Linked DNA regions of Arabidopsis thaliana. The main gene of each other region encodes a partner of the protein of the gene in region 4 in a complex. Each region holds a gene or a part of one and is shown on either strand. Other genes may lie near its edges.

What was found.
Region 1: UVH6 (region 4) and XPB2 share a complex: the UniProt entries of both Arabidopsis thaliana proteins name them as parts of the 7-subunit TFIIH core complex.
Region 2: UVH6 (region 4) and AT1G18340 share a complex: the UniProt entries of both Arabidopsis thaliana proteins name them as parts of the 7-subunit TFIIH core complex.
Region 3: UVH6 (region 4) and AT4G17020 share a complex: the UniProt entries of both Arabidopsis thaliana proteins name them as parts of the 7-subunit TFIIH core complex.

Annotation. Positions count from the first base shown.
Region 1 is NC_003076.8:16,542,131-16,551,035, reverse strand, and holds XPB2 (homolog of Xeroderma pigmentosum complementation group B 2), read right to left. Parts: upstream 6,697-8,905; 5' UTR 6,463-6,696; coding exon 6,453-6,462; intron 6,354-6,452; coding exon 6,310-6,353; intron 6,223-6,309; coding exon 6,150-6,222; intron 6,070-6,149; coding exon 5,901-6,069; intron 5,819-5,900; coding exon 5,596-5,818; intron 5,494-5,595; coding exon 5,437-5,493; intron 5,130-5,436; coding exon 4,986-5,129; intron 4,878-4,985; coding exon 4,797-4,877; intron 4,701-4,796; coding exon 4,613-4,700; intron 4,402-4,612; coding exon 4,064-4,401; intron 3,879-4,063; coding exon 3,803-3,878; intron 3,716-3,802; coding exon 3,522-3,715; intron 3,227-3,521; coding exon 3,063-3,226; intron 2,976-3,062; coding exon 2,903-2,975; intron 2,801-2,902; coding exon 2,687-2,800; intron 2,585-2,686; coding exon 2,504-2,584; intron 2,287-2,503; coding exon 1,915-2,286; 3' UTR 1,852-1,914; coding exon of another isoform or gene 1,799-1,851; 3' UTR 1,709-1,798; downstream 1-1,708. Other genes in the region: AT5G41350 (RING/U-box superfamily protein), read left to right, coding at 7,648-7,650, 7,872-8,012, 8,183-8,612, 8,722-8,831. UniProt on the Arabidopsis thaliana protein: ATP-dependent 3'-5' DNA helicase/translocase; binds dsDNA rather than ssDNA, unzipping it in a translocase rather than classical helicase activity. Component of the general transcription and DNA repair factor IIH (TFIIH) core complex.
Region 2 is NC_003070.9:6,310,082-6,316,361, forward strand, and holds AT1G18340 (basal transcription factor complex subunit-like protein), read right to left. Parts: upstream 3,851-6,280; 5' UTR 3,654-3,850; coding exon 3,623-3,653; intron 3,500-3,622; coding exon 3,411-3,499; intron 3,330-3,410; coding exon 3,047-3,329; intron 2,778-3,046; coding exon 2,731-2,777; intron 2,538-2,730; coding exon 2,500-2,537; intron 2,414-2,499; coding exon 2,368-2,413; intron 2,269-2,367; coding exon 2,215-2,268; intron 2,131-2,214; coding exon 2,062-2,130; intron 1,955-2,061; coding exon 1,878-1,954; intron 1,794-1,877; coding exon 1,698-1,793; intron 1,607-1,697; coding exon 1,531-1,606; 3' UTR 1,362-1,530; downstream 1-1,361. Other genes in the region: AT1G18335 (Acyl-CoA N-acyltransferases (NAT) superfamily protein), read right to left, coding at 73-381, 482-561, 941-1,043, 1,141-1,245; MKK7 (MAP kinase kinase 7), read left to right, coding at 5,605-6,280. UniProt on the Arabidopsis thaliana protein: Component of the general transcription and DNA repair factor IIH (TFIIH) core complex, which is involved in general and transcription-coupled nucleotide excision repair (NER) of damaged DNA and, when complexed to CAK, in RNA transcription by RNA polymerase II.
Region 3 is NC_003075.7:9,576,071-9,583,785, forward strand, and holds AT4G17020 (transcription factor-like protein), read right to left. Parts: upstream 5,370-7,715; 5' UTR 5,013-5,369; coding exon 4,900-5,012; intron 4,830-4,899; coding exon 4,662-4,829; intron 4,407-4,661; coding exon 4,338-4,406; intron 4,244-4,337; coding exon 4,150-4,243; intron 4,031-4,149; coding exon 3,930-4,030; intron 3,849-3,929; coding exon 3,803-3,848; intron 3,729-3,802; coding exon 3,669-3,728; intron 3,590-3,668; coding exon 3,521-3,589; intron 3,409-3,520; coding exon 3,325-3,408; intron 3,203-3,324; coding exon 3,119-3,202; intron 3,023-3,118; coding exon 2,937-3,022; intron 2,847-2,936; coding exon 2,756-2,846; intron 2,603-2,755; coding exon 2,522-2,602; intron 2,384-2,521; coding exon 2,309-2,383; intron 2,220-2,308; coding exon 2,086-2,219; coding exon of another isoform or gene 2,082-2,085; exon of another isoform or gene 1,997-2,081; coding exon 1,903-1,996; coding exon of another isoform or gene 1,869-1,902; 3' UTR 1,805-1,868; downstream 1-1,804. Other genes in the region: AT4G17010 (transcription factor IIIB), read left to right, coding at 372-488, 863-973, 1,303-1,557; EXLB1 (expansin-like B1), read right to left, coding at 5,747-5,944, 6,080-6,391, 6,523-6,632, 6,979-7,111. UniProt on the Arabidopsis thaliana protein: Component of the general transcription and DNA repair factor IIH (TFIIH) core complex, which is involved in general and transcription-coupled nucleotide excision repair (NER) of damaged DNA and, when complexed to CAK, in RNA transcription by RNA polymerase II.
Region 4 is NC_003070.9:773,495-781,814, reverse strand, and holds UVH6 (RAD3-like DNA-binding helicase protein), read right to left. Parts: upstream 6,289-8,320; 5' UTR 6,166-6,288; exon of another isoform or gene 6,008-6,165; 5' UTR 5,994-6,007; coding exon 5,460-5,993; intron 5,334-5,459; coding exon 5,053-5,333; intron 4,661-5,052; coding exon 4,578-4,660; intron 4,480-4,577; coding exon 4,076-4,479; intron 3,944-4,075; coding exon 3,750-3,943; intron 3,663-3,749; coding exon 3,482-3,662; intron 3,330-3,481; coding exon 3,205-3,329; intron 3,009-3,204; coding exon 2,919-3,008; intron 2,814-2,918; coding exon 2,735-2,813; intron 2,642-2,734; coding exon 2,565-2,641; intron 2,278-2,564; coding exon 2,169-2,277; intron 2,072-2,168; coding exon 1,952-2,071; 3' UTR 1,771-1,951; downstream 1-1,770. Other genes in the region: AT1G03200 (uncharacterized protein), read right to left, coding at 691-734, 979-1,060; AT1G03180 (non-structural protein), read right to left, coding at 6,636-6,693, 6,768-6,847, 6,936-7,030, 7,115-7,163, 7,276-7,584, 7,662-7,719, 8,124-8,272. UniProt on the Arabidopsis thaliana protein: ATP-dependent 5'-3' DNA helicase, component of the general transcription and DNA repair factor IIH (TFIIH) core complex, which is involved in general and transcription-coupled nucleotide excision repair (NER) of damaged DNA and, when complexed to CDK-activating kinase (CAK), involved in transcription by RNA polymerase II.

The DNA.
Region 1 (8,905 bases), on a different chromosome or scaffold from region 4:
TCTCACGTTGAGCCCATTCTTTTTTCTTTTAGCCTCTAAGATTATTCTTACATATGCAAAATGGGAGATGAAAGACAAACCATAGGATGAGGAAGGAAAGCGCATGAGAGCATGCACATAGTTGGTACTCATAGAGTACCATTAATAATATTTTACTATTAATTTTAATGTTTATTTATTGTTTGAAACTTTTTATAATATTGATAATAAATCTGTTTCCACCGGTGAAATCGTATTAGTATCATTAAAAAAAAAAAATTGCAAAATCGAAAAGATGCGTTTTCCCGACTAATCGAAAAAAAAAATTTCTCTCTTTTCACACAAAAACATGTTTTCCCAACTAATCATAACCCGCCACGTTATCAGAGACTGGTATCAAAGAAATCACTCCAGTGATACTACTTAAACCCAAATCAGTTATTTTATTCATTAATTTAATATTTTTGGGCTTATGATACTCATAAAAATTGTGCAATGTACATGGTCTGAGAATGGGAGACGATTCAATGCCCAAAGAGTTGCCACGTTCTTCTCCTTCTCAAGTGACACAAAGTATGAACCAAGAGGAGACCAATGTACATCCAACGCTCCTGCACAAGACAAATAGCATTACATTACCCCATCTGCAGCAGTATATAATCTCGGTCCCTTAGAGCATCCTCATTGCATATCTTTTATGGGTGTCTTTAAACTTTTAAACTACTTAAAAAAGTGGAAAATAATAAATGGATGTGTCTTAATAGTAGACATTTTACCTGTCAAAAGAGAGAGGGTCTTTAAATTTAATATTATTTAATATGAAAGACATTCATTGGAGGATGTGCAATGAGGATGCTCTTACCTTGGTCATATAGACATTATCTGGATGCACAAAAGAAGCAAGACCTTCTTCTTACCAACGTCTCAAAAACATGTCGGGCCTTCTTCTTACGATTTGGATAACATCTTAACAACTGGGCCATAACGGATGACTAATTGACCCAGATCTTCTTCATCAGTACGACACTTAAAAGAAAAAACACACAGAGTCGGGTCTTCTTCATCTTTCACCTGAACAACAAAATTCCCCAGAATTGACAATACTTTTTTTTGCAGGGTAATATGAAAATTAACCAAAATCAGTAAGATCGAGACTTTTATCGTTCCCCATATTGATCTTTTTCTCTTCATCGAATCAATTTTAGACATTATCTCTTGTCTTTTCAATCGATTATATCAATCCGGTGTCGAAGACAGAAATTCTACGACAGAGGGAAAACAAACGGTACCGTAAATATTTTCCGTTGTAAGCTAGACCGAGAAGCGAGCTGCGTCTCCGTCGCATTATGATTCGGATTCGGTGTCGGGTCCAGGTCCGGGTATGTCGAGTCCGTTACTGAGTTGATGTGATCATGTGAATGCAGAGAACGTTATAGCAGAAATGCAAACTCGATTCATATATAGAAAGGCTACAATAACGGATCCAATATGGGCATTTAGTAGGCCTCTTTTAGCGTGGGCTTTCTTTAATCTCAAATTGAGCCCATTATTATTTTTAATTCGAAATCATGACAAGTAATTATTTTTTAACCTCGAAAACTAAGTACGTTTTACTGTTGTTCAGGATCTGTCAACCAAATTATAATCGTGTTTTATATGTTGGTTCAGCGAGATATCATGACAGTTGACAATAACAAAATAATTTTCAAAGGTATTCTCGAGGCGATATCATGATATGCTAGAAAACAAATATCAAAAAAAAGGAAAGAACTTTCTAATATCAATTAATCAATTCACATAATAAAACAAATATCAAATGTTAACGGTCTTTTAAGGTAGGGTGTCTTCGTTTAGGTTTTCTTGATTTTGTGCCTGAAACAAATTTGCACCAAAGTTACAACTCAAAACATATAGCCGAATATGAGTTCTCTTGTCTCAAACATAACGTTTTTTGAAGATATTGTGTCGTTTGGTTGGGTCTTTAGGTTTCTTGGATTGGTTACCAGATTTTTGACGACCTGAGTTGTATTCCATGTAGACCCTTCCATTTGCACCGGACATTGCACTCATCGATCCCATGCTTCGTCGCGTCTTTAGAGCCTTTCCATCTGTGTCTTCTTCAAGTTGTTCTAAACCAACCATATCGTCTCCAGCATTCAACACCTTTCCGAGAAGAGACAACTGTTCTTCTTGACTGTGGTAGCCCAAGCTTGAACCCGCGTCCGGAGGTGGGAGGCTTGTTATTACCTTGAAGCTATAACCTTGGTCGATCAAAAACTGCTGTCTTTTCGTTGAATAATACATTTCCTGCATTTCAACATTCACGATCCTTACATCAGTCATTCTCCATTCAATCAGTCATTCGATTTTTATCGGTTCAGGAATTCAAGTCACGGGTTCTGGAAAGCAAAATTTTTTCTGTGTTTTGGAAACGAGTGCGGACTAGAACTGAATTATATTTTGGTTCTGATTTGGTCTGATGAATTTCAGTTTTTATGGCTACTTCAACAATAAAGTGATTTACCTGTGTATCGGTAGAAACAAGCGAGTAGAAGAATGCATTGTACTCTTCTTTTCCACCAGCCATTCTATCTTCAAGTTTACCCTGTTTTTGATCACGGAGAAATAAAACGTGTTGGATCCAACAACCAAGAGGAACTCTAGGAGAGACGCAAAATGTGATGAGTTATAATACTTAAAATCACACCTTAGCCCTAAGGATACGACCCAAACGTTGAGCCTCTTGACGTCTAGAACCAGCATGTGACGAAATCTGGATGATCACATTCGCTTCAGGGATATCTATGGAGTTATCACCAACCTGTAGTCAATAAAAGAAACCGAAACTAAGTTACTTGATGAAAATGGAATGAACAAGTCTCTATATATTCCCAGGTCAATGGAAAGGAAACAACGCTAATACCTTTGACAGGAATACAGTGTTCACGGTTTTACTGGTTTTAAACGCCTCGAGAATTTTTGTTCGTTCGATATGGCTACATATTGAACAAAGAGAACTATCAGATTGGAAACTGAGTGAAACATACAAAATTGTGCTCTCAATAGGTGGTTCTTTAACGAACCTGGTTGCACCGTAAATCATCGGTTTCCGGAGTTTCATTGCATACTCTGTAAGTGCAAAAAGATTGTCTGCAAAGACGATGATTTTATCCCCACGTTGTTGTTCATGGAAACGTATCAAAAATTCACAGGCTCTGAACTTGTTAGGGTTCATGACATAAAGCGCCTGCAGACACCAGAAGACAAGATATGTAAATGTCAGAACAATTGAAGGGGTTTCCTAGTTTCTATTACAGGGTGATCTATTAGAAGCATTTGCCAAATTATAAGACATACACAAATAACCTATAATATTGATGTTTACCATATTATAAGGTTCTAGACTACATCAAATTCATGGACTCTAGTGTATCAAAACAAACAAACATAAAATAAGATAGTCAATTATTTTAAGATCTTTATCCAGTAAAAATATCCAAGGAAAACAAAGATCAATGCGGAGAAAGCTTAGACGCATTAACCTGTTTTTTTTTCGAGTTCTCTTTCTTCAGATATTCTGCAAAAAACTCTTTGGTCATGGGACACCATACTTCAGCACACTGAACATTTGCAATAAAGCCTCCTTTAACTAAATCTAGCCAATTGGCTTCATAGAGTTTCGGGCCAATGAGGAAGTTTAAATCTGTAATTTTTTCGTCTTCTCTCACAAGGGTGGCTGAACAAAAGACCAAAAAAGAGACTTAGCTTCTGCAACTGAAGTATAACAAATAAAAAGGTATGTGAAAATGAATTTTTCATTTACCTGTAAGTCCTAGCTTGCAGTGAGATTTTGTAATACTGATAACTTTCCTAAACATATGGGCTGGAACCACATGCACCTATGAAAAACATAACTCTTAAAATGTCACGCATTGGATGGAAACTTGTTATTTGTAGATCCCAGTAACACTGGATAGTGGATACACATTCTAAATGAACCACATATAACTTTTCCGCAATGTAAACTACCAGTAAACACTAACTTCAATTCAAAGGCACATCACACTAAGAACAATTTGATTACCTCGTCCATAAGCAGCAACCCCCACTCTCTGTTTCTCATTTCTTCTATAATCTTCTCTGCTTCTTCAGATCGTTTACCACCAAAGGCAATCATATTATAGGTTGTCACAACAACACCAGCATTTCCACGGAATCGTTCTTTACTATCAGAAGTGAAACGGCATATTTGGTCATCTTTTATAGTAGACCACAACTTAAATTGGTAGGCCCATTGATCCACCGAGACAGCATTCGTTGCCAAACAAAGACAACTCTTCTTTATACGAGCCGCTGCAGAAACACCAACTAGAGATTTACCAGCTCCACAAGGTAACACTATAATCCCAGATCTTGCTCGTCCTGCAGAATCAGGAGTCTAGATCAGTCACAAGCTTTCAGGAGAAATAACAAAGATACTTATCTATTAGAAGTTCACAATGAAGCTAGATCAGAACAGTGTATGAAAGTACAAATCTATATATCTAAGAGAAGTTCACAATCAATTTAGCAGTCGCTGTAAACAAATTACTAAGGAAAATAAATGCGGGCGTAGACAGTTATATCGTATTACCGTTTCCAAACATTTTGCTCAAACTTTTTTCCTGGTATGGCCTTGGTTGTGCATGGGGCTTCAGTTCCATGTCAAGATCAGGATTAACCTGACAGACACCATCAAGTTATTAACAATCACGAACATCCAGTTCATATCATCTGATAAGTAAAAATTGACCTGAAGTGTGATAATTATTTCTCACATTATCGTTCCTGAAGTCATATTCCTCTAACATAGGGTAATTCAAGGCATTTGGCAAGCAACGCTGCTTAACATTCTCCACCTACACACCAAGAGCAGAAGAACATGACACCGTGAGTTGAGTAAAGATCATATAACATTAACAAAGTCATCAACACGATTTATTTCAGAAGCATTAGGGGAAATTTACCAGTGCAGGGTCTATCTCAAATGAGTGAGTTTCTTTCTCTTCTGCTGCTGCTGCCAATTCTGCTTCATTCAACAACTCCCCAGGTCCTGCTTCAAGTTCACCACTTGTTTTGCCGATCGTAAATCCATCACCACCATAATATGGCTAGAAAAAAAGTTAATAAGTTGGTTCAACATACTGTGGAGAATACAATGGTATAAGAGATATCAATTTCACATTCAATGAACCAAGGAGTTTAAAAAGAAGGATAATGAGTTTATTTATCTATTAAATAGTTCAAGAAAAAATTAGAATTTAAACACGAAACCAATAGCCCCAAGAGAATCAGGATAGATCTCTCTGCCGCATTGGTATCAAAAGATGCAAAAACTGTTGAGAACAACAGATCATGGTATGTATTTCCATCCAGTAATAGTAAACATAAAGCACTAAATTGAGGAGTTCAACATACCTCAGAAGTAAATCTTGCTCGATTTATGACATCATCACTGAGAAGCCTTTTCAACACCTAAGATTGTTTATATTTAACGAGTGAGCAAAACCAACAGAGAAACTACACAAAAATCCCATACGCATAACTAGAGAAAGAGGATCAGTCTGGTGAACTTACCTCCGGGAATGGTGATTCAATAAAATACCGATTTTTCTTCAATACCAACTTCACTTTCCCATAATTAGCAGTAGAAGCATGGATGAAATCAATGATCTCCCCGGGTAGCTTGGTCTTAGATAGCTTATTCAAAACAGAGATGATAGTTTCTGTCTCAAGACCAACGGAAACAGCAGCATACAACGAGTGTGGGGTTAAATTATACTCGTGCATTGACTCAGGCCTGAAATAGTAACAAATGAATGAAAATCAACAACAAAAATCATAACTTGTACATTGATATAATAATCAAATCAAAATCAAACCTGCAAACGGGTTCAGCAATGGCGATAAGAAAGTCATAAGCTTGTTTATAGAGAGGAGAAAATGTCTCCAAGAAAATCTTTCCATCAGCACAAGCCCACAAAGGCCTATTTCCATGATCCGGCTTCAACTCCAAATCAGTAAAATCTCTCCTCTTCTCCTCTCCTTCACCTTTAAAAACCATTATAAATTCTATTTCAATTTTGTTCCCAATGTATCTATGTTAATTATACGAGAGTAATCAATATTACCATCACGAGAATCCTCATCAGCATCATCATAGTAATCTTCAACGTTTTGTATGTTCTTCATCTTTTGATCATCCTGAGATTTTTACAGTACAATTACACTAACTAGAAGTGAAGAGCCTAATAAATAAAAAAAGTCATGTGGAGAAGAATCAACACGAACCTTCCCACCGTACTTCATCTTCTTTGTAGGTCGTTTTCTTTCATCTAAACATCAACATTTTCCCCAGTATTAGCATACTCTTTTCACCGGATAATTCAATAAACGAATCAAAACTCAGTACGATCGAGATTCGAGACCATTACCGTTTCCCATATTGATTTTCTTCTTTTCGCTCCTCTTAATCAAATCGATTTTAGGGATTGTTTCTCTTGTATTTTCAATTTGTGAATTCGCACATAACCTAAATTGTACGACGGAGGGAATATACAACCGTCTTCGTGGTAATTTCCCGTTGTAAGCTATTCAACGAAGCAAGCTGCGTCTCCGGCGAATTCGGATTCCTGTGTCGAGTCGGTGACTCGTTTGAAGCGGAGGAAGGAAATTGTTAAGCAGAAACGTAAGAACACGATTCATATATAAAGGCTGCAGTAACAGATCAAATATGGGCTTTTAATAGGATTCTTTAAATGGGCTTTATTCTTAAGTTTGAGCCCATGTTTCTTTTTTAAACATCGATAAATTATTTGCCGGAAAAAAAATAGTAATAATTTTACTGAAAATGGTACTTCCCAATTTATAATTTTTTGGTCGACACTTTTCAGCCGATTTTCAGTTATGTAATTTCATTATTGAAATTTTGAAAAATACATTGTAACGGAAAAAATAAAATAATTAATCAGCTAATTAATAATTGTATTAATGAATTTAATAAATCAGGTAAGTAAATATAATATTGAGCCCAAAAAGAGTCTTTGTAATTTCTTAGGAAAGTCATTTTGATAGAGCGCACGATAAACACAGCACCGCAAAAAGCACAGAAGCAGAGAAAGACGAAGACAAAACAAAAAAAGCTTCCCCCAAGAACAAAAAGTAAAATTCTCTCTATGATTTTGAGATTTTTAATTCCTCTTCTCTGATTCAATCTCGAGAAGATGATCGGTTCTTCTTTGGTGTTTGTTCTTGCTAGTGATCGCTTTTCTTTAGGTTTTGAGCTTGATTTTTGTGTGAAATTCTGTGGGTTTTTTTTTTACTGTTTTGATCCGTATTTCTCCTATGTGTTTATGCTAGATTCTGAGAATTCTGATGTTTATTGTTGCTTTTATAAGTTTCGGTTTAGGGTTTTACGGATTAGCTTGCTCTTAATGGAGCTTTGGTTCTTTTTGTGGATTCATTGTTTGTGTTGGAGTTAAATTCTGAGTAGAATTGTTTTAAGTTTTTGGGGTTTAGTGTAAAACTGATTTGAATTTATTGCAATTGTGTGTAGATGGTGCTAAAGAGAATGAGAATTGTAGGAGATTCACATAGGCTTGTAGTCGCAACACTGTTGTCTCGATTTTAATGGTTGATGTTTATTGTATCTTTGATTATTGAGAGTGAATTTGAACTGTTAGTAGCTGAATTGTTTTATTGTTGCTACTAGCATGATGAGTCTGATCAGACTTTAGTAGACAGCTCAAACTGATATCGAAAACGATAAAGCTTGTTTGAGTTTCTTGCATATAGATGATAAATATTCTCCTACTGATCTCAGAATGTAATTTGTTTCTTCACATATCTTGTAGGTTAGCATAGATGAAGAGTCTTCGGGTTTTGTAGTTTTTGTAAAACAGAAAAAAAAAAAAAGAGAAGAAGAGATGGGAGGTTGCTGTTGTTGTTCTTCTTCACGAAGAGCTGATGTAGATAATGGACCTGCGTACTACTACGTTAGTCTGATACTTCTCCCACTTCCTCGTTTTTTTTGGGTGTCCTTGCTTTGATAGGCTGCAAATAAATCAATCTTGATGTGCTTCAGGACACTAAATGAGTTAAAAGCCCCAACGGGCTTCGAGATTCATATGGGAATATAACTTGTTTTATGACTTGTATTTTGCAGTACCCAAGGGCAACAGAAGAGCGTGTGCCTTTATCTTCCGCTCATAACAGGACTTCCTCTGCAATCTCTACTGGTGTTGTAGTAGTAGACACAAACTTAGAGACATCATCTCCTGATGCTTATATACCACCGCCACTGCCTACCCCTTTCGATGTGCCTATAGGGATTCCTCAAACACCAGCTAGTGGTGAAGAGGCTACTTGTGTTGATATAAGAGAGGTTTCGGTGGACTCTGCTAATACCGAGTCTGCTCAAGAAACAGTTGATGGTATTACTCTCGGGGTTCCAACTACATGCTCACATAAAGAGACAGATAGCAAAATCCAAACAGAGATTGATCTTGAATCTACTGAAGAAATAGACCCGAAGCTATCAAAAGCTGTTTTTATACCAATAGAGGAAGAGGAGGATTGTCCCATATGTTTGGAAGGTAAAAGCTTGTTTGCCTTTCCCACATCTCAAAAACATATAAACATAATCGTACCTTACATGACTGCGAGAATGGGTTATTTATTATATTGTCTGTGCTTTTGATTCAGAATATGATATCGAGAACCCGAAACTTGTAGCCAAATGTGATCACCATTTTCACCTTGCATGCATTCTAGAATGGATGGAGAGAAGTGAAACCTGCCCCGTCTGCAACAAGGTACATTCTTTTATTCACTTCTCTTTGGTGTATGTCGAAAAACTCTAATCTCTAAGTAAACCGTAAATAATGAG
Region 2 (6,280 bases), 5.5 Mb from region 4:
GAATCTGAAAACAGAAGCTAATGCCATCAATATCGAAAAATAGGAATATAAGAGACTAATTTTGGAATCAACCTTAGAAGCAATGAGCTCAATCAACTGCATTAAAAATTCTCCTAGTCCCTTTCCTTGAACCCGGGATTCCAGCTGTATTTCATACACATAAAGGACAGGTATCTCTTCCTCTAAAATAAACCGGTAATGCACAAATCCAGCTATCTGATTACACCCTTCCATGCAAGTTCTTTGAGTAGATGTCTCATAGGCTTTACCAAAACGCAGCTCACGCACAAAGATATAATGTGCATCAGCGGAAGACATCTCCTTACGCTTCACCTTTGCTTGTATAGGCCAATCAGACCCATAGAACCCTTCCATGTTCGTCTGTGAATGGTAAAAAAATTTGAGTACAACAATAAATCTAGAATAAATTTCTAAGAAAGTATGTTCAGAAAATTTAATGATACTTCATTCTCTTTAATACCTTCAAGAGTTTTTGAATGTGATGTTTCACAGACGAGGAAAGTCTATCTCCACGGCCAGATTCCAGGTACAAAGATAAGTCTACAAGACGTAAGAACAACACATACACAGAATTAGCTAACCATCAAGACTCTTCTGTGAACTTAAAACGAAACAAGTAAGCACTGAAAACAAAATTCACACAAACATTATCATAACTAACTAACAACTAATCAGAGCACACTAGATCATAGGTTACCAAAGTCTGCATGAGTAAGGGATTCACAGATAATTAAATCCATGTTAAAAAGCACGAATTCCAACTAACACTACATCTACTTCATAATGTAGTAACATTAGGAATTGTAAAAGTAAGTTTATATGCATCAAATCATTGTCAATGATAATCAGTTCGCATAAACAAAATCCCATATTTTTGAGAAACTGGCGAAAATAAAATTGAGCAGAAGAACAAATTTACCGTTTCTTCGGTAACGGCGGAAAGAATCAAACGGAGAAAGAGGATCGTCAATGGAAGAAGCTCTTTTTATAAGGTCATGAATCGTCTTTTTCTTCTCCAAAATCTGCACGACAATTCTCAATTATCGATTTCGAACAAAATCAAAGATCGAAATTTCGAGTGCTATGAAACATACACATTACTTCCGAGATTTTTTTTACCTTTCGCCGTTTCTTCAAATCCATTGCTCGCCACACCGATGATTCTCTTCCCTCTGTCTCGTTCGTTCTCCACGTCTGAAGTGATTCGGTAGGAGACGGATCCATCAAACGGGTTTGGACCCGAAATAGATCCGACAATAATAAATGACGTCAGCCCAAATGTCGTATTCGTTCAAATTCGATAGAGAAGCCCAACTTTCTATATGGACTATTAGAGGCCTTTTTGTTTTGTTTGCTCAAGTCAACGGGTACTATCTCAAGGAAAAAAAAAGAGTCAAAAACTTTGCAAAATTGATTTCACTTTGATATATGGTATAAAAATTATCGAAAATGAACGCAAAGACACAATTAAACAAAGTTTGCAGTTTCTCTCTGGCACAAAAGATGATTTTAGGTACTAGGAGCTTTTCTCTTCTTATCAGAGGCAGATGAAGCATCATCAAGTTTAGACTGACCAAATACAGACCTGCAAATTTCCAAAAGCTTTTCGATATTAGTATCAAACAACATGATAGATTGTTATCTTGAGAAAGAACATGACGGGTCAAATCTCTTACCCGCAGGTTGAACATTTCTTGTGATGCTCACAGAAAATGGACAGACACACTGAGCATATGTAGCCCATATCTATTGTCTTCTTGTGGCAAAAGCACCTGCAAATTTTGTACTTAAAACCATCTGTTATATATGCAGAGGAAGACCCGATTAATTGAAGAGTTAATGACTTGATCACTTACGATGCGCGAAAATCTACACCTATGGGTTTAGGAAGTTGTACAAAACCGCGGGAGTGCAAATCGGTTGCAAAGATTGTCTTTTGTGCAAAACAAAACAATCCAGAGTTAGCAGCCATTGAGTATTGAGTTCGCTAAATGAGAGACGAGTCACATAATGGTTTGCGTTTGGACTTGAGTTGCGTACCGTTAGATATTGAAATAGCCCATCCAACTGTTTAGGTGTATGATGTACACCACCAGTTATATAAGATGCCTACAAATAAGCCAGGAGATAACAGCTGACGCATAGGTCCAGTTTGACGAGTTAGAATCATGTATAAAGGAGAAATGATATTACCTGCTGCAAAAATGCTGAGTTCTGTACACCTATGTAACACGAATCAATGGGAACCTAAAGAACCAATTGATGAAGTGATTTGGGTACATGATACTGGATTTAGAGAACATCAAGAACCGGAAATCCCAAAGAACCAATCAAAATGAAGATTACCATCAAGCGTTGGGCAGAGAAGATAGAGTTCATAACAGCAACATACCTGAAAGAATGACAAAACCTTTTAATGAGACCAGACAAACAAGACAAAATCTTGCAAGTAGAAAAAAAATGAAGGAAGAAACATACTGTTCCGGGCCATCTGGGGAACCTTGCAAGCATAAAATCTGTATTTCATATAAACGTCAATAGCACAATCAGTTCTGTATTTTGGGGGTATACGATAGAACAGATAACACATAAGAAAAAGGAGTCTATATTCTCATTAATACTTTAAGCTGAAGATTCATACAAAGCAATCAACATGAAAAGTTTTATCCAAGACAACTGATTGATACATATATCCTACTGAACACTCACCCGAGGCTGGGGATGAAGATGTCCAGAACGGAAAACCCTCTGTATATCTAGAGCCATAAATTAAGTCAACAACAAAATGTGAAGACTGAAAATCAAATACATATATTACCAGATAACATTGATGGCCTTAGACATGCTATAGGTTTAGCTGAGAACAAACATGTCAACCTAAAATGTTCCTTACTTAACCCAGTCTAGAGAGAAAGCTAAGCTTCAAGATCACTGCCAGAACTTATGCAAACAAATCCTAATAGTTTGTACTATATATAGCTTCAAGAAACCTATCATGATGCTATATGCTTTTCCAAGAGGATACAGCAAAGAGCCATGGAGAGTGATCCTGACAAGAGACAAGAAGGTATTCTATCCTCAGACACTTCCTCCTTGCTGAGCTCCTCATCTTTGGTAACAAACTCTTCCAATTTCTTAAGCAAAGAACCAAAAATTGCAGGCATTCCAGTTCCATTGCTCTCGAAATTTCCATGATTTGATGTCAAAGACGAATCATAAATGTAATCACAAGAACTGTATCCAGTAGCTATAACTACAACTTGGTTCAACTGATTTAACCCCAAAACCGCATTAAGAAACGCAAGCACCTACACATAACAGCAGCAAGCTTTCTGCATAAAAATCGAAGCATTGAACAAACAAACAATAGATTCGTTAGAGACACTTACATGAGAAAGGAACTGAGAGAAGGTAATCGATGTAGTGCTCCAGAAAAGAGGATTCGTATCAAGCAACAAAACTAGAAGACTAACATCGTCTGCGACCAAAAAAACAATCACGAGCCAATCAGACTTGTTTCCAGTTTTTGGGATATCTAATCTACATACTTATACGATTGAGGAATGTGAGGGTTTCGAAGTAAGAGGAATTTAATAATAACCTGAATACTGCTTAGAAGCAATGGCAGGCATAGTTTCACAGACGATTCCAAGTCAGAATTTCAGTGTGCCGGGAAATCTTCCCGGTGGGAACGAGATCTGATAATGCTATTTCAGTGCCGGGAAATCGTTTTTTTTTTCTTCTCCAATATATCTTCACAACAGGTCTTTGAGTTTTCCGATTACGAACCAGAGTTAAAGAATGAAATTCTCGGATGCTATAGTAACTTACTGAAAAATTCAAGGATTTTTAGCTTATACAGAAATCTGAAGTGATTTGGTAGGAGCCGGATCCATCAAACGGGTTTGGATCCGAATCAGATCCGACTATAAACGTCGTATCGTAAGCCGGGCTTACTAAGCCCAAATATGGCATTAGTTCAAATTTTTAGATAGGCCCAGTTTTCTTTATGAACTAAACCGCCTTTTACAAGGGCCTTTTGTTTTCTTTGTTCTTTCTTTTGGAAAAGAACACCAAAATCTCAAGGAACAAATTTATTTTTCAAACTGGCTACTGATACGAAATTCAGTTTATTCAAGCTTTATACTATCGGACGTCGATATATTAATTTTAATGGTAAAAAATTTTGGTTGAAATGTTGTTTGTTTCAATACTAAAAATTAGTAAATTCACACATGTCCTGATATCCAATCCATCCTATGAAACTATAGTCATGTTTGGAGATCGTCTTGATATATAATACATGGGGCATAAAAAGCTTACTACATTTTTTTGGGAGTAACAACTAACAAATAAACAAACAAGTTTTTTGGTTGGAAAAAGAAGCAAATCACATTCATAAAGGTTTGATTGACTTCATATAATTTGATTGTTATTCATTTGATTGACTTCATATTATTTTTATTCAGTATTCTTTGGATATATACGCGCATGACAATCGACATGCTAAATACTTGTAATCCGTAGGGTCATGTGTGACTGTCCACTAAGAATCTGAAGATCTAATCATAGTTTTTACTAAAATCATATTAATAATTAACTTGGCAATATTAATGGCGATGGCCATTGGAAAGCTTTTGCATGATGGCCTAAATATAACTTATTGTTTGGTCATTTTCATTAGAAGTCCTTAGCCTCCGAGGTACATTGAACCTCACAAATTCACATTAAACTTTAAAATCTCCTATAGTTTAGTATATGAAAATTATATAACTAAATTCCACCAATGTCTTTATGAGTAAATAATAATCTTACTATCAAGTCAAATTAATATCACTAAAATAAATGTTTTGAAAGTATTATTATTTTTCAACAACAATGGATTATGTGTTTGAATGTGAAGATAACGATTCTGATAGGTAACACAAAGCTTTAAAGTTGTTTTAGCTGTAAATTAGAATGCAAAACTATATAAATAAGTAGTACAAAAAGTTAAAAATAACGTTTTTATAACGCTTTTGTAATTTGTAATATCACGGTACATGCTGTACCAAACTTTGATAATTGAGTTACCATTCAAAATCACTAAAACAAACTCTTTAAATGCATATAAATCTAATCATTAATGCAAAACGTTAAAAGTAACGCTTTTATAACGCCTTTGTAATTTGTAATTATCACGATACAGGCTGTAACAAACTTTGATAATTGAGTTACCATTCAAAATCACTAAAACAAACTCTTTAAATGTATATAAATCTAATCATTATTGCGTAGATTTATCTCAATATACACAAGCCACTATAGCCAGGTTCCGGGTAAGTAGGACAGATAGCAGTCCCATGCATTTAACCTCGTGCAAGATAAACATAAACGGTAGACACACTAGTTGCCATTTTTAGATACAACTCAACAAATAATAATTAAGATAAAGAACAAAAAAGAGTGATTAACATTTAATGGAAAGATTTATTAGCTTCCCAGGCTCCTCACTTAAATCCCACTCAAGTCTCCATATAAAAACTGCAACTTCCATCACTCTTCGATCACCATCATCACTCTCTCTCTCTCTCTTCTATTTCCATGGCTCTTGTTCGTAAACGCCGTCAAATCAACCTCCGTCTCCCTGTCCCACCGCTCTCTGTTCACCTCCCCTGGTTCTCCTTTGCCTCATCCACCGCCCCCGTCATCAACAACGGAATCTCAGCTTCCGATGTCGAGAAACTCCACGTTCTCGGAAGAGGAAGCAGCGGGATCGTATACAAAGTCCACCACAAAACCACGGGGGAGATATACGCTCTGAAATCAGTCAACGGCGACATGAGTCCTGCTTTCACAAGACAATTAGCGCGCGAGATGGAGATCCTCCGTCGCACGGATTCTCCTTATGTCGTCAGGTGTCAAGGGATCTTCGAGAAACCAATCGTCGGAGAGGTTTCGATCCTCATGGAGTATATGGACGGTGGAAACCTAGAATCTCTCCGCGGCGCCGTTACGGAGAAACAACTAGCGGGATTTTCCCGCCAGATTTTGAAAGGTTTAAGTTATCTCCACTCACTCAAGATCGTTCACAGAGACATCAAACCTGCGAATCTACTCTTAAACTCGAGAAACGAAGTTAAAATCGCTGATTTTGGAGTGAGCAAAATCATTACCCGATCGTTAGATTACTGCAATTCCTACGTCGGCACTTGCGCTTACATGAGCCCGGAGAGATTTGACTCTGCCGCCGGAGAAAACTCCGATGTTTACGCAGGCG
Region 3 (7,715 bases), on a different chromosome or scaffold from region 4:
TAATTTCTTTTTTTGGATTCTCTCTGAACTGATTTGCTGGGCGTGGACCTTCGGTTTTGTTCATTTCGTAGTCCTCTATGCGAATGTTTCCAGCGTTTGATCTTTAGATCTGTAGTTCGATTGTATGCTTCTAATAGTTATTCGTTGTCTTGTACATTTGATCTATAATGAGAACTGATGCGCGGTTTTAGTCGAACGCGACATCGTAGTTCGGATTAGAGAGTGTACTAATCTTTGTTTAACAAAGATGGCATTTCATCTTTTGACTGTGTGATATGTCAAACCCGCAGAATCCATAAAACTAGTTTACTTTGATATGTTTTGTTCTTCTTCATTGAATGTTTGTGTGGTGTCTTGTAGTTGTAGGAAAGATGAACAAGCTGTTGGAATATGGGAGAAAAGCTATGTTCTATGTGAGAGTTCTCTCCGGCTATGAAGAAAGGAGAATCCGGAGTTACAGGTTGCAACTCGAAAAGCGTATCCAGCAGGTTTCTTTCTCACCATGCCTCTATCTAATTTCTTAGCATAAATGGTAGAATAAGATGATAAAACCCTGCTTTGGACTATAGTTGGTCGCATAAATTTGAAGAACCCTGTCTATAAACATTATTACCCTTGTTTTTATTCATTGTTAATGGAAGTCAATATGTGTACTTCTAGTTTATGATAATTGAATAATATCTATAAATTAGAAAAGCTTAGTACTTATTGTACATTGTGAAGACTGCTGAAATAAGATCTTCCTTACATTATAGTTTCCTAATCGTATAGACTTCTGTACTTGTGACTTCTAGCTTCTAGCTTGGGTTGGTCATGGACCTCATGGTTACCTTTTTATCTGATCAAACCTCTGGTCCTGCAGGCTAACCAAAGGAAAGTAGAGATAAACAGACTTCCAGAGCAGATTGTATTATCTGAAGTCCGCCGTATGGTTGAGGAGATGCAGAATTTGAATAAGCAGATTGAGAATACGGTTAGTCTCTCTTGTCTTTATCCTCAGTCCAAAGTTTGCAAATGGTTGAGTTTATCACTTGTTTAATATCAATTATATATATTAAGTGTGGTGAAAAATGTTTGAGATATTGTTTCCTTCGAAGTGCTTTTGGTTCGAAAGCATTCATAGAAGAGAAAACGCTTTTAGTTTTTGGCGTTTGAGATATTTGAAAGCAGAAATTTTTGGAAGAAAAGAGTGAAATCAGTGCCAGAGTCTGTGTTCCATAAATCAGAGAGTCTTTTGTTCTACTTTTGTTCGTGTTAGGAGAATATAAGTCTAAGTATGTTTTGGGTCTTTTACCAATACAGGAGGCTCAAATTGAAGACTACTTCAAACCGATAGACAAGCATGCTAGTACCATAATGGAAATTCAGCTCGAAGGAGAGAAGAAAACGATGGGGACAATGATGAACGCAACACAACAGGAAGCTATACGAAAGATTGAAGAAGCTGAGAAACTCGCTCGGGCACGTGGAAATGCAAATGTGACTACAGATGCAAACATGGGAGATAAGATCCAGGATTCAGAGTCCTCAGCCAACGAAAAATCTCAAGCAAAATGAAGTCAGATCTTGTCTTCATGTTGACACAGAATAGATTCAGCGTCTCTGAATACATCCTCTTAGTTGATTAAACTGAGATTGTAGCCTCGCATTTGCTGAGGTTTTAATAATTTTGAAATTTGGTCAACTGAATAGAATCAAAACCGAGATTGTGTTCTGTCTAGCGTACAAGAAATTATAGAGGTGACCCTGGTTGGACCATCCCCAACGACCACGTTTTGTCAATATATGTTGTTTCAAACTTAACTTCGCCTAATAAAGTATATTGTGATTTACAATGGATCGGTCTTACAGCTTAAAGGTTTCAACTTTCAACTTCGTGGGTACCAACACCAAGTACTTTTCCTACGTTTGGGGTGCGCATGTGTTAGCAGGATAAAAACGATGGTAACTAATAGAGTAACAAGACATCAAATGGCTACTCTTTTTTCTCTTTCTGCTGAAACCTCACGAAAGACATAGTTTGTAGAATCGAAGCATGATGTTTTGTTTTAATACGAGAAGAAAATGTGAGTTTCTTCTTGTTACCTGCTTTGGGTATGAAGAAACTCACGCATCTGATTGTGAACTTCGGATTTCACAACAAGTCGCATTCTCTTAGAGTCTTCCCAAAGAAGGCCTCTCCATTCCCGAGCAAAGTCACAAGCTGCCTCAAACACATCCTGCTAACATGATTTTGGTTAATGAGATTTACTATAACGGTTTTGCGTTATGGAGAAGAGAAAATAATAAGAGGGTTCAGGTTTGTTACTTTTGAAGGAAATTCATCATAGAAGTGAGCCTGGGTCATCTCAATTCTCTGCAGATCTGTCTCCCAAAGCCGAATCTGCCAGAACAATGCATTTTTATTCAACATAAGCCTGATGAATCAGGACGTAGAGATAGTATACACTTTCAATTCTATAAACCAATCCTATACACATTTTTGTATAATCGACACTTGATGGGCATAGAGAGTATAAACCTGATCAGTGACATTTTCTGGAATAGATGGGACTCGATCAGCACATCGTGGATGAGAATTCTGCTGGAGGAAAGTTATAATCTGTGACAATCAAAAGAAAAGGAAAAAATATTTATTCAGAAACTATAAAGAGACGCATCAACAATTTGATCAACATTTCAAGGACAGTGAGGATCCGGGCAAAATCATGTATTCGATAACTTCAAAATGTTTTTCAACTGAAACCAACTGTACCTGATCTGATGTGATGCCATTGTCAAATGCATTGTACAAACTTTCCTTTGTAATGGCACAAGCAATAAGGTTTGGAAGTTGGTACTCTATCCTGGAAATAATGAAGCACCAACTACTTAGACCTAAAGGATTTTAAGACACAGAAGAGTAAAGTTTCAGGTCGATGTTCAGGAGCTTCTACCTCGCAAATAGTCGTAAAATTTCACACTGTAACTTAGATGTGGAGTACGCATACATTCTGAAGTTTGTTTCCATCACGACAAATCCCTGATGAGGAACAACAAACAACAGCGATACACAAAATCAAGAAAATTGTTGGTAGCAGGTAGATATGGGACAAGAGGGGAATAAAAAAGGTGTGACCTCTTTTCGCGCTGATGAATCTGCCAGACTGACTGATAAATTTGTAGCCAGTTTAGTAGGAATAAACCAACTGTCTTTCCTTCCCTTCAATAATCATAAAGACTGGCTCAGCATGTGATATAGTTCTATAATCATAACTTTAGCAAAGTTTTTTTTCTTTTGATATTTGGTAATAAAAAAAATATTACAAATGGTCTAAGTCTAACCTGTTGAAGCTTGACTAATCCCAAGTCTGCAAGGTCCTTGAGGGTATTGTTTTGAACCTCTGTCAAGGTATTTAAGTTATATGCCTGCAATGTGTAAGCTCACCGAAATAATTAACAAGCATCCCGCTAAATCAAGTAAGAGTAAAAACAAGAACAAGAACGCTTGAAATGACTTTTTTGTGAAGTTCTGTTATACCTGACCAGTAACATGAAAACTAAGCTCCAACAAAAACGAAATCAAGTCTGCTGGATCTACATCTCGCTCCTGAGAAACACTGGCATTGGGTTATCCATTCGGCGAAATAGAGATATCAATTTCACAAAACCTTAGGAATAATACAAACCTCGGCATTCAATATGTATTCTCGAATAATGTACCAAAGCTGGGCATTTGTATCCATCAGCTGAAAATTGAGGTCAATCAGGTTACTTACATGAATACAGGTAATTATAGACCACTGACTCACGATTTGCATACCAAAAACTGAAAGCCACTCTCAGTTAATCTCGGGCCATCTTTGTCTCTGCAATATTACATGAAGTGTATCAAATAGGGAGGCTATATGCCACCACTATGCATCTATAGACGTGTATGAAAACATTACCTCTGACTCAATAAACCTCGCTGAAAAATTTTCATCATGGATGAACTGATGCCAGTTAGTTTTTCACCTTGACCCGAATTTATAAGTTGTAGCAAGAAACACTGACAAACATAAGTACACATCATCAGATACTAACCAAGTTCATATTAAAAGATATTTGTTTTACAAATTACTTCCACCTTACTAGTATTATCAATAAGAAATTAGGAAATACACACACCTCCCATTGCTTAAGTGCATAGGTTTCGAGTTCTTGTAGGCTTGGAAGTTTAATGGCATTGTCGGAGTTCATAGGCTCTCTAGGCAAAACTCCACTGCAAAATTCAAATTTAGCTCATCAGCATCTTCTCCAAAAGCCTAGAGAAAAAACGAAAAAGGAGAGTACCGTCAATGTAAAGATGTCTTTACCCGGAAATAATATGTTTCTGAAGATTGTTCTGAAATGTAGGATTTAGGCTGTAGCTGGTTCCCCTTTTCCTGCAAAAGTACGAAGAGCAGCTTAAGAACTAAATCTGAACTATCATCTTGCCACATACAATCATAATCAATCCAAACACAGTAAATTGAAGTATAAGATGAAGCTCATAGGGTTCAATGCTCAAGTTAACATCCACCATCACTCTTTTAAATAAATATATCAAATAAACCCTCCAACGTGAATAGACAGAAGTATTGAACTAACTGAAATAAGTCAAATCATGACAGTATCAAGAATAAAGCAAGAATGCATACCTATCACTAATTTCTGAAAAAATCCTTAATTGAATCAGTCGATCAATAGCAACTCTATGTTTAGAGGTGCCATCTGCGAGCACCCACTCCTCCATCATCGTAGCAGGTACAGGAACATCAATGTACAACATCTGCAATACATACTTCTTGGCAAGAGGCGGCAAAGACCTGACACCATCTTAAGAATGTAAGATCCTCAATTTTTTCAAAATTCAACAACATAGACACATAAATTAACCTGAGAATGGCTTCGCAGATAAAGACATTGTTGTAGAGTTTGTCAAGCTTGATGGCTGGAAGTGACGCCACCATGTCCATGAAATTTTTAGCAATGATCTTAACTTGCGGCATCTTCACCAATTGGATTCCCTTACTCACTGGACCGGTTCTAAAAGAGCACAGTTTCCACGAAATTAGGGTTTATGCCACACAGCGATCAGCTCGAAGCAAACCTAGTTAACTAAAGCATCTCCTCAAAAAAAACAAATCCAAAACAGTTCTAAACAAGAACTCCAGAAAACAAATAAGGAAGGATTTAAAGTTTCGGGTTCGAGTTTGAGAACAATACAGAATTGAATTTAAAGTTTAGGTTCTCTCTTTTCTCGATGAGCTCTTCTACAATTGATCCCGATTATTTACTACCCAGAATCAAAGAAAACTGACGAAATCGATCGAAGAGGATGGCCAAGATAAATTAAGTTTTAATGGGCCTTGTGAATACTACTAATGGGCCTATCTATATAACAAAAATCGCGCCAATTTGTTTTCATGAAAATGGTTGATTAGGGAGAGATATATGCTTGACTGACCAAAATGTAAACAAAAAAAGCTTACGAAACGTTTGATCATCATCTGATAAATTGATTAGTACTGATTTATTCCATCAAAATCAAACTCATACAAACCATTACAATCTTCTTAGTGAGACACAATACATAAATTATATATGAATCTACTACGATTATTTATATTATCATCATTAATTATATTGTCCTAGAGGGCATTATTTAAATATATTAGCCATTGCATACAGAAACCATAATAAATACTATATGATAAAAACACACTGATGAAAAGTGAATCAATTAAGTAAGTAGAATGTTGGAGTCGTAGGTGGCTCCGGCAGTCCAATCAGCGGGAATAGCGTTTGGCGATTGGATCCAATTGATTCCTGCGCTTCCGTAGACTAAGAACCTCAATGTGAGAGTGCCTCTAGGTGGATTCTGCAAATCATGAACCGCTCCAAACACTCTTCTCATACGTCTCCACTCTTTGCAATCCTCCTAAAATCATACATATACATGCATACCATATAATAACGTTTAACTTTGTTTCACAAAATCATCTAAGAGTAAACTATATATTTTGATCCTCAAAAACATATATCTAAGTTTCTCAACATCTTTGATTAAATTTACCTGCCAGACTTCAACGGCGAGGATGTCATTAACACCACCAACGTACAAGACAAGGATGGCAAGATAATGAGGATTGTAGCTTTTCTCATGGATCTTATACACCAGATTATACCCTGCGTATCGGCAAGGGATCCTTTGGTACTCAACGTTGACTACACCGAAGGAGTAGAGCTGATTTTCTGTGCCGGGTCGCGCCATACGTCCGTACGCCTTAGGGCTTAAGATGAAGTCCGTGCCATCTCCTTCTCCGGAGTCCGTAGCCACTACGTATACTCCTTCCTCACTGCAGTGTGGTGGTATCTTGCACCTCACCTTTTTATAATTCATAAAATAAGTTTTTTTTTCTTTCATAATATAAGTTTAGTAATTAATGACATAGCATATACTATAATAATATTTGATGAAATATTGATTGAGATAAGTAGATAACTATATATAATAACCTGGTAACAAGCACCACAGCCAGTTCCATTGTTCCATAGTCGCCATGAAACACCACTCACTTCACCGTTATTGATATCTCTTCCAAATTCTCCATACCCACAATGTCCCCCTGCATCATCAAAAAATTAATTAATTATTCTTATTCTTTCGACAAATATTATGTATATTCTCATAATGGAAAGTTATCATTACTAATTACGCAGTTAATGGACACTTAGTGGACTCGTTTTCAATCATATATGTATTTAGAATTTGAATAAACCTTCAAAATAAAACAAAACAAGAAACCTATACGTAGATATAAAACAAAAATAATTAGTTATGGCTTATAGTGAGATATTACACCAATGTATCTTTTACCAATATATAACGTGTACAAGTCTATACAACAACTAAGAAAATGAAAAAGAATTAAGGTACACGATGTATATAGCAATAACAATTTTAATACGTACGAGGATTTGCTTTGCAATCGGGGCTGCCATAATAAGTAGCTCTAGAGTTAACAAAATCGTCGGATAGACAAAGGAGAGGCAAAAGGACAATGACTTGAACAAATAGAAGAAGCAAAACGTGAGAATGCTTCATATTGTTGTTATCTTATCTATAAATATTGTAAGATTATTAATACTTCTAACTCTTTTTCTTAACAAATGATAGGAATTGATAATAGAATTTCTTATCACAAAAGATAGTGAAGATAGATGAGAGACTTAGTAGGGTATTTATAGCTGCAGCTAGAGTGCTTATTACAATTATACAATTGATCGAGCATCGTCACTATTTTTTACTTTCCACTTGGCAAAAAGCTTAAAGCTAACTCAATTTTTTTATATAGTTTAACTTGGTATTAAATTAAATGTTTACATCATACATCTGCCAATATAGCATTAGGGTTGGCATAAACCCAGTAGATTCAAAAGTCGATTCTTATTATACGCAATTTATTCTTTGATTTTTGTAGTCTAGATTAGTTAAGGAGAGTATTAGATATCGAATTATCAATATAGTAGTATTTTAGAAGATTAAGTATGTGAACATTGTAAAGCTCAGAAGATTGAGGTAACATAGTTCCAATAGATGCATAATCTCCATTTCCGTATAACACATACCGAAATTCAAACTAGTTTCAAGTGAAAAGATAAAAGATGCATTTAACACTGAAAATCAATTCCTAATACTCTAGTTTCTT
Region 4 (8,320 bases):
AAATAAAAAATAAATGCTAAATATATATGAAAATATGAAAAACATGTTGGATTTGTGGAATCGCTAATAACCACGGTTCAATGGCGGGATCCAAAATCCGGTTAGATTTCACGACATCATATTAATTTAATATTTATATAACCCTTTAAAAAAAGAGTTGAATTTTTAAAAAAATAAATAAATGTTAAATATACATGAAGATGTGAAAAACATGTTGGATTTGTGAAATCGCTAATGACCAAGGTTAAATGGCGGGATCCAAAATCCGGTTAGATTTCACAACGTCATATTAATTTAGTATTTATAAAACTTTAAAAAAAAAAAAAAAAGAGTTGAAAACTTTTTAAGAAAAATAAATGCTAAATATACATGAAGATGTGAAAAACTTGTTGGATTTGTGGAATCGCTAATGACCAAGGTTAAATGGCGGGATCCAAAATCCGGTTAGATTTCAAAATGTCATATTAATTTAGTATTTATAAAAAAAAAGAAAAATAAAAAAGAGTTGAAAACTTTTAAAAATCAAAACTTTGAGAAATATATTTTGTTTTGAAAAATCAAAAGTATAAAAACCTTTTTTGTAATTAAACTATCTATAAGATTATAGATTATAAACAAAATAGGGATGAAAATTGACCTGACCGAATGGGATGATGCATTGTCTCTGTAGAATTATCCGTCTTTCACACGCTACGATATCACAGATGAAAAAAGCTCCGAAGTTGCAACCACATCTACATACAAAGAAGAAATAATTGATTAGAAGGAATCTTGAATAAAAATCAAAAACTTTGAGAAATATATGATTAGGGTTAGAGCTAGGGAAATAATATAAGACCTAAAATTCAAATTGGATTAGACGAAACCCACTTTAAACATGAGAATTCTTTGTTTTGCGATCAACCAGAATACAGTAATTAGATACCATATAAAAAAAAGACGTTATTTGGCCAAAAATTCCAACAAGACGAAAAGTACCTTTTGAGAACAGAGTGTTGGAGTCGGTGCAAGTTGATTTGATCTCTTGACGATAGCCTTTGCTTTTGCTTCTGATCTTCATCCCCAAAAAAAAACAAAAATCGATCGTTTGTTTTGTTTTATGAATTAAACACAGTAAAATTGATGAAAGAGTAGAGTAAAATTCACGGTTGATCAGTGATCTGGGTAGAAGAAAGAGACGAGAGAAATAGAAAAAACGAAGAACGGTTTTACGATGAGAGAAAGAGAGGAAAGTGCTATCGAATGGATCTCTGACTCTGGATTTGTATTTATAAACAGTATTTCTGAACTTCTAATGGAAACCTACAAAAAGAATGAAAGCTTTATTACGGAGGAACGGAAAAAGGAAACTTGGCCGAGAGAGACGAAAATACCTAAATACCCCCCTTGGGAAAAAGGAAAATTTGGCTCAAGAGAGGAAATTCCCTAAATAGTCTTCGGGAAAAAGGAAATCTGGTTTCTCGCACGTTGAAAAATTAGCCTGCGTAATAACGGCTAGTGGGTGAGCTGGAACTCCAACTGTTGGGCTTTGCAAGTGCCCAATGGGCTTCGACAGTTTTTGAGGCGGTTATTGGAGACAGGTGATTGGGTCGTCGCACTAACTCTGCCAATTTCAATTCCACTTCTACTGCTTGGTTAAATTTATTTAATCATTCTTTAAGATTTTTTTTTTTTAGTGGTATGTTTGATAGATTTAACAAGGAGCCGACGAAGTATTTCTTGATCTAAAATGATGTAATGAGTGAATATGATAATCTAGTTATCTTAACATTAAGCATAAATTTTGCTAATTTCAATAGATTTAAAACCAAAACGAAACTTTTACGAGCCTTAAATTTCAATTCGATTCTTGAAAATCATCAAGAAAAAGAACAAAATACCTACAGTGAAAATTTTTGCTACAACAATTTTTGATTGACCTAAACCAAAAAATAACAAACAAACTGATTTACTAATAAGCCATGTCTTGCACACCAGTCTCAGCCATCTTCTCCAAATCTTCTTGTGTCAACAGAGTTTTCCTTCCCATTGTACCCGCCTTATCATACGGTTGAGCCATTTTCCGAAGAAACTGCAAAAAAAACAAAAACCAGGAAAATTGTTGATTCTTTATGCCTTGTTGTTTGTTTCACTGTGAGTTATAAAAAAGCAGCGAGTTATAGGTTTACCTCTCGAGCAATGTGAATAGCCATATCAGTGCTTAGATTCAAGTGTGCATCACGCAGATGCGAAAGTATCCAACCAGGTAGTTTGGACCGCTTATCATGACGGCTGTATCTGCAAGTTTTACCATCAATTGCAGTGTATTGTTAGACCATAGAAATGTGACATTATAAACCAACATAAGCATATATCTGTGTCTCTCTTCTGTCCTACGAATATTTTCCCATTCCTAAGGAACAGTGTGAACTCTGTTACAATCTTCTATTCTCGAGGTGATCTCAGATACTTGCGCATATACTTATTATCATACTAGATAGATTATAGAGAGAATCCCATTTAGTAAAATAGCAAGAATCTAAATGACCAGACTCAGAGAGAGAAAACTTAAGGCGGGCATGTACCTTTTGTCTGCAAATATCATCATCCCATAATCAGCCTTTGACCGGATTACTCGCCCTACACATTGAGCTGCTTGCCTCTGTGTTAAAGCCAAAAAGAGTTAACAACAGTCACAAACAGGTAAAAGAGTTGCACACCAAAATCTAATAAGATCATAAAATAAGAATCATACCAAGGCATCAAAAGTTAGGAAATCGCCTTCTTTTATTTGAAATGTATCGTGCAAATACTCCAATCTTGCTCGTAATATCCTGAAATTTTTCCCGTTTCCATCTTATCATCTCCCAAGTACGATGAAATATAAAAGCAGAAAACCGGAAATTGAAATGATAAACATTCATTTGAGTACAACTTACTTGCTTAATGTATACTGGAATGGTACTCCGTACATTACAACCAGTCTTCCATAATGACGATCAAAATCGATACCTTCAGCAACTTTCCCCCTGCAGTTCAAATACAAAATTTGATCACTTTCTTTGAAATTTCTCAAAAGTGAAACCTCTTTAATATTTGTTAACCAACCAAGAATAGGAGAGAAGAGACAATTCCAGTATTATAATACAGAAACAAAGAAGCAGAACCAAAGACGCATTGCAATGAATTCCCAAACCATCTACCATTCAAAAATAAAAATTTTACCTGGCCACAGAGAAGAAAACTGCACCTCTTCCGCAATCGCAAGCCCTGCGATAATTATCCAGTGCCAATGTTGTTTCTACAACATCTTGTGTTTCAATGAAAACAAGCTTCTGTTGCATTATTTCCTACAAACATTAAGAGAATTGGTAATATCAGTAAACAAATATACATTAATGCCTGAAGCAACTAAAAATATTTTGAGGTATCATAAAAATTCCAATTCATGCAAAACTCTGAAAAAATTACTGGCATGGTAAAGCGATGAAGAAGACCTTACCTTCAGAATTCCAGTTTCATTCCATGTAGCAATAATGCCATCCATATATGAGTAACTAACAAAGAAGCAGACAACTCCATCAGGAACAATAGATACCATCTCTACCAAAAGCTTTCCGTAATTCCTCACAACACCAGGATCACTTCTCATGTCAAATTTGGTGCTAACAGGAAGCTGATCACTGAAAAAGAAAACAACCAATAATGTCAAGACATATAAAATTAAAAAATAAGTTAAGTGTTCAGGATTCTTTTTATATACCACATACCTTCCCCGAGTTAGAACCATAGGGCAGATGCAGTCTCGTGTCATTGACATCTTAAAGCTTCGACTAACAACAGGAGTGAAATTAAGAAGACGGGGGTAAAGATCAATTGGGCTCAATGTGCCTGATGTAATCACGACTGACTGGAAACGATCAAACACCGGTTTGATCGCCAGAGACGCATCATGACAGCTCAACTAAGATACAAAAGGATATATGTTTCAGATACAATTCTCAATTATTCAAACGGTAGCATTTACGTGTGAGTCATAATCCCTTAAAATCCCAGTGACAATACTCAAAAGAAAGTAGGTCAACACCATATTTACCTGCAATATAGGATCTGGAATATGGGGCATTCTCTCGTCATAAGGCTCGATGATGATGGAAAATCCCCGGGCATATGTCCCAACAAGAGTTGCAAAGTCGCACACTGTCTGGATAGGCAAAAACTCATCTGTATCTGTAATTTCAAGGGTTAGCATGAGAGACTGGAGCCGGTCATAACAGAACTTCAGTGTTTTCTGCTCAATTCCAGCCTGAGAATTCAGTGACGATACAAAGCTAACAGGGCTTTCTTTCTCTACATTCTCAGTGTCCAGCCGTACCCCCAAGTACTGAAGTAATCGGCGTAAAACATGCACAAAATGCTCAGCCCGTCTAATATTCCCCGGGACAGCCTCCTTTAGAATATCATGAGGCAGTGCAGGGTTTGCAAGCCATTGATCACCTCCTGCAAAAAAAAAATTGTTGCGTCAAGTTCATAGAATTAGAAAATTTACTGTGTGCTTTCAATCAAATCACAGATCACCTTCCTGAACACATACTTACCAGATAAGTCCCCTCTCAGTGCTAAACCCTCAACCAGCCGGTTGTATTCAGCTCGCAATCTTCCTGCATCAGTAGCCTTGAACCTTCCTACCAGTTGGACAATTTCAATAATGTAATAAGAACTTAAAAATAAGCATCAGCAAATAACCAGGTCACTTCCTGTATTGAACCAAGAAAATTATGCTTCATGTGTTTAAGATGATGACAAAAGCGTTTGTAAATTTTTGTTCCCCTTACAGTTCTTTGACAAAAAGCAGTCTCATAAAACCAGATTATTTTCTTACTAACTTAAACTTCCTTAAGAAAACCAACAATTAGCAACTGGAGTGAGCAGACACCCAGATGGCATTCAAGAACAATCAGGAAATTCAATTGAAAAAGAAAAGACCCTATCACTGTGTTTATTGTTGTATTAAGAGTGGCACGTTCAAGAGAACTTAAGGAGTATCAGCTATATAGGAAAAAATTAGCGTACCTATCAATTTCTTGCCTTATCTTATTAAGATTTCGATTAGCTCCTTCAAGTGTAACCCTCCTCACACTGACGCTGAGTGCTTCAATACACACGTTATCGATATTATGGGCCTCGTCAAACACTACAACTGACTCTTTTTGTAACTCCTTTGATATGAACCCAGCAACCTTAGGATCCAGTAGGTATTGGTAGCTGTAAACAATAACGTTGGCGAACTGAATCATATGCCTCGCGAGAAAGTAAGGGCACCATCCACGATTCTTACCAAACGCCCTTAGATCCTAAAAATCGAAACACACATATACCATCAGGCAAAATGTGCAAGTAACCTCGAAATAAGCATTCCAACTAAAACATAAACTTGATCAAACAACAAATGTGAAAAACCTTAACTTTTTTAATCTTACCTCTAAAGTATAAACACCAGGAGGCAACAACGCATTCTCAGCAGCCTTTTCATAGTTCTCAAAGAAGTCACAGAGTTCTACATTTGGATTCTCCGTGGACAAAGCCCTAACCCAGCTAGCAGTTCGTTTCCTACAGGCCGCATCAACAGAATCACGATTCTCGGCTGCTAAAACCTTAGTATTAACGCAAAGATTCTTCCGAGAGGAAAGACCAAGGGCGAGGATCTTAGCCTGGGTGCCGAGATGGCGTACTTGGTAGTCATGTAGTAGCTTAAGCTCACCTAACGTTTTCTCCATCTCGTGGACAGTACGAGTACAGTAAACAAGCTTGATCGGAGAATCAGGACGAGAGAGTCGATAGCTGGTGATTAGAGAGAGAAGAGCAATGGTTTTACCAGTTCCGGTAGGCATCTCGAGAAGACAATGTCCCTTAGCGTCTAGGGCTCGCTTCAATTCAACCATGTATTCATATTGTTCTGGATATATGTTGTCATAAGGGAAGTAGACAGTTACGTCTTCGATTTTAAAGATCATCTTCTTCCTCCTACCTAGAAATCGAAATTGGCATTAGAACTAACAAAACCCTAAAAAACTCGAATTCACTTTAGCAAAACAAGCGATTCAAGTTGGAGTAGATAAACCCGAACAACGAGAAAGAAGGAACAATTGAGATCAAGCGAAGAGAAGATAACAGGAGAAAACTTACAGGTGATAATGGAAGCTTCGATGTGTTATCAACGACTGAGAGAGGAACCGGTAGCAGCTTCAAGGTAGAAGAAGAAGAAGAAGAAGAAGAAGAAGAAAATTTTGCGTCTGTGTTTGCCGAAGTAACCAGAGCAAACAGAAGAGGAGGACTCTTATTAGAAAAACTTAAAGCTTTGTTTCTTTTTCATTCTGACCCCCTATTTATTTATTTTAATGCGTTTGACCCCCTAACTTTATGTATATTAAACTTCTCGACAAAATTAGGTTTTTAAATGTTAACAATTCGTCCAAAAATATAAAATAGTTGAACAATCCTGATTTTGTTAAAACAACAGAGTATTAGAGTATGCAGTAGTAGTAGTACAATGTCATCTCAAGATTTGGAATTGTTTCAACAATGCTGGTTTTTTTCTAAAATTTGCAACAGGGTTTAGTTACAACAATAGAGAGATACAAACAAACTCTAAAGTCTTATTCTTCAACTGGTTGATGGAAAGCTAATCCCTTTATCACATGTCGACATTGATACCTGCAATGACACAGTAAGGCATGGTCAAGAACTTGTTTAGTGTGTAACTGGAGAATTGTGAATAAGAGAAGTACCATATTAGATCATTTGTGGGAGGAGAATTTGTTGCATTGTCTTGCGTTCTGCACTTGAATCTCAACTTTGAAGGCACAAACTGCAATAATAAAAGATGTTTGCAGGTGACGGAAAATCGGAATGTTGTACATGGATGTGTGAAATAGAATTAGCAGAGAAGTGTATACCTTTCTGTTGTATCTGAAGTCACGTTTAGGAAGGAAATGTTGTGGAAGATTCAAAGTAGGTGGAGCATGAACCAATATGAAGAGCCTCATTGGACCTGCAACTCAGAAGAAGGGAAAAAAATCATTACACCATAATTCACAACAATGCTAAAGAAGTTTGCAATTTATGCAAAAGTTACCTGGGTAGGAAGTTGATCCAGCACCCGTCGAGATCAGTGCTCGGATAGTCTGTAAAGCCAAGAGTGAAGGGCTCAACCATTTTTGACTTATCACAGCAGATAAAATTGAAAAGAGACAAATCACAAGCAACATGAAAACAGAGGTAAGAAAAAGAATAAACCTTTTTTGAAAGTGCTTCTGCAGCTTTGGATTTAGCAAAGTCACCTTCGTAGCCTAGAACATGGTCTCTGCGTTGTGTGAATAACAACTCATAAGCATTTTGAGGCCGTAATGGACTACCACCAAGAATCAACACAACTTTCTGAATGCCAGGAGCTTCACGGATCATTAACTGCAGCGCACTTCGGAGACTAGAGATGGTTTTCATCAGTTTCTCCAGTTTCTTAATCTCATTCTTCACCTCTCTCTTTCTACTCATCAGTTTTCTTCTAACCAGTGGTTTCACTTGAGGTTCTGCAAGATTCGTCTCCTACAACCTAAGATTCTTAGAGTGTGAAAAAGACCTTAGACCTTAAAGTGAAAATGGCGTCTGTAGGACTAACATACCAAATCCATAAATTCAGTTTGCAATCCTTCAAATTCAAGGCTCATGTCTTGTAATACCCTGCACAGATGTAAATAACCAACAACAGTCATATTGGTAGAAGGAGCTTTGTGTAGCCAAAACCAAAGCTGCAAATTGAAGTTTCTGGTTTTCAGTAAAACACTCATAGTGGATACAACAGACTTAATTCTAAAACCAAAAGGAAGTAGTGTGCACAATTGCGTAGAGCTTTTCAATTTCTCCTAGAATTGAACATAACTCACCTACCAGGAATTAATCACTAATCCATCCAGAATCCATAAATTCATAACCACGAAACTATTTTTCTTCTGATAAATTCGTAACCAACAGACTAATCGGAGAAATTAACGGAGAGATTGAAGAACAAACAAATAGATACATCATCACCAGATCGAAGGATACATCGAAGCATAGAGATACGAAGATAGGAAGAGATAACATACGAAGGGATCTGCTGGTGCATATAGAGGACGAATCCGACTATGTCATTGATGATATGGAAGACGCCGGAGCCGCCTAATGAAGAAGCGGTGGTCGCGATGTCTACGTCGTAGTTCTCCTCTGTAGTTCCTTCCCCTTCCGCCATTTCCATCGTGAATCGAAAATTGGAAACCTTGTGACTGTATGTATGTGTTGCTGA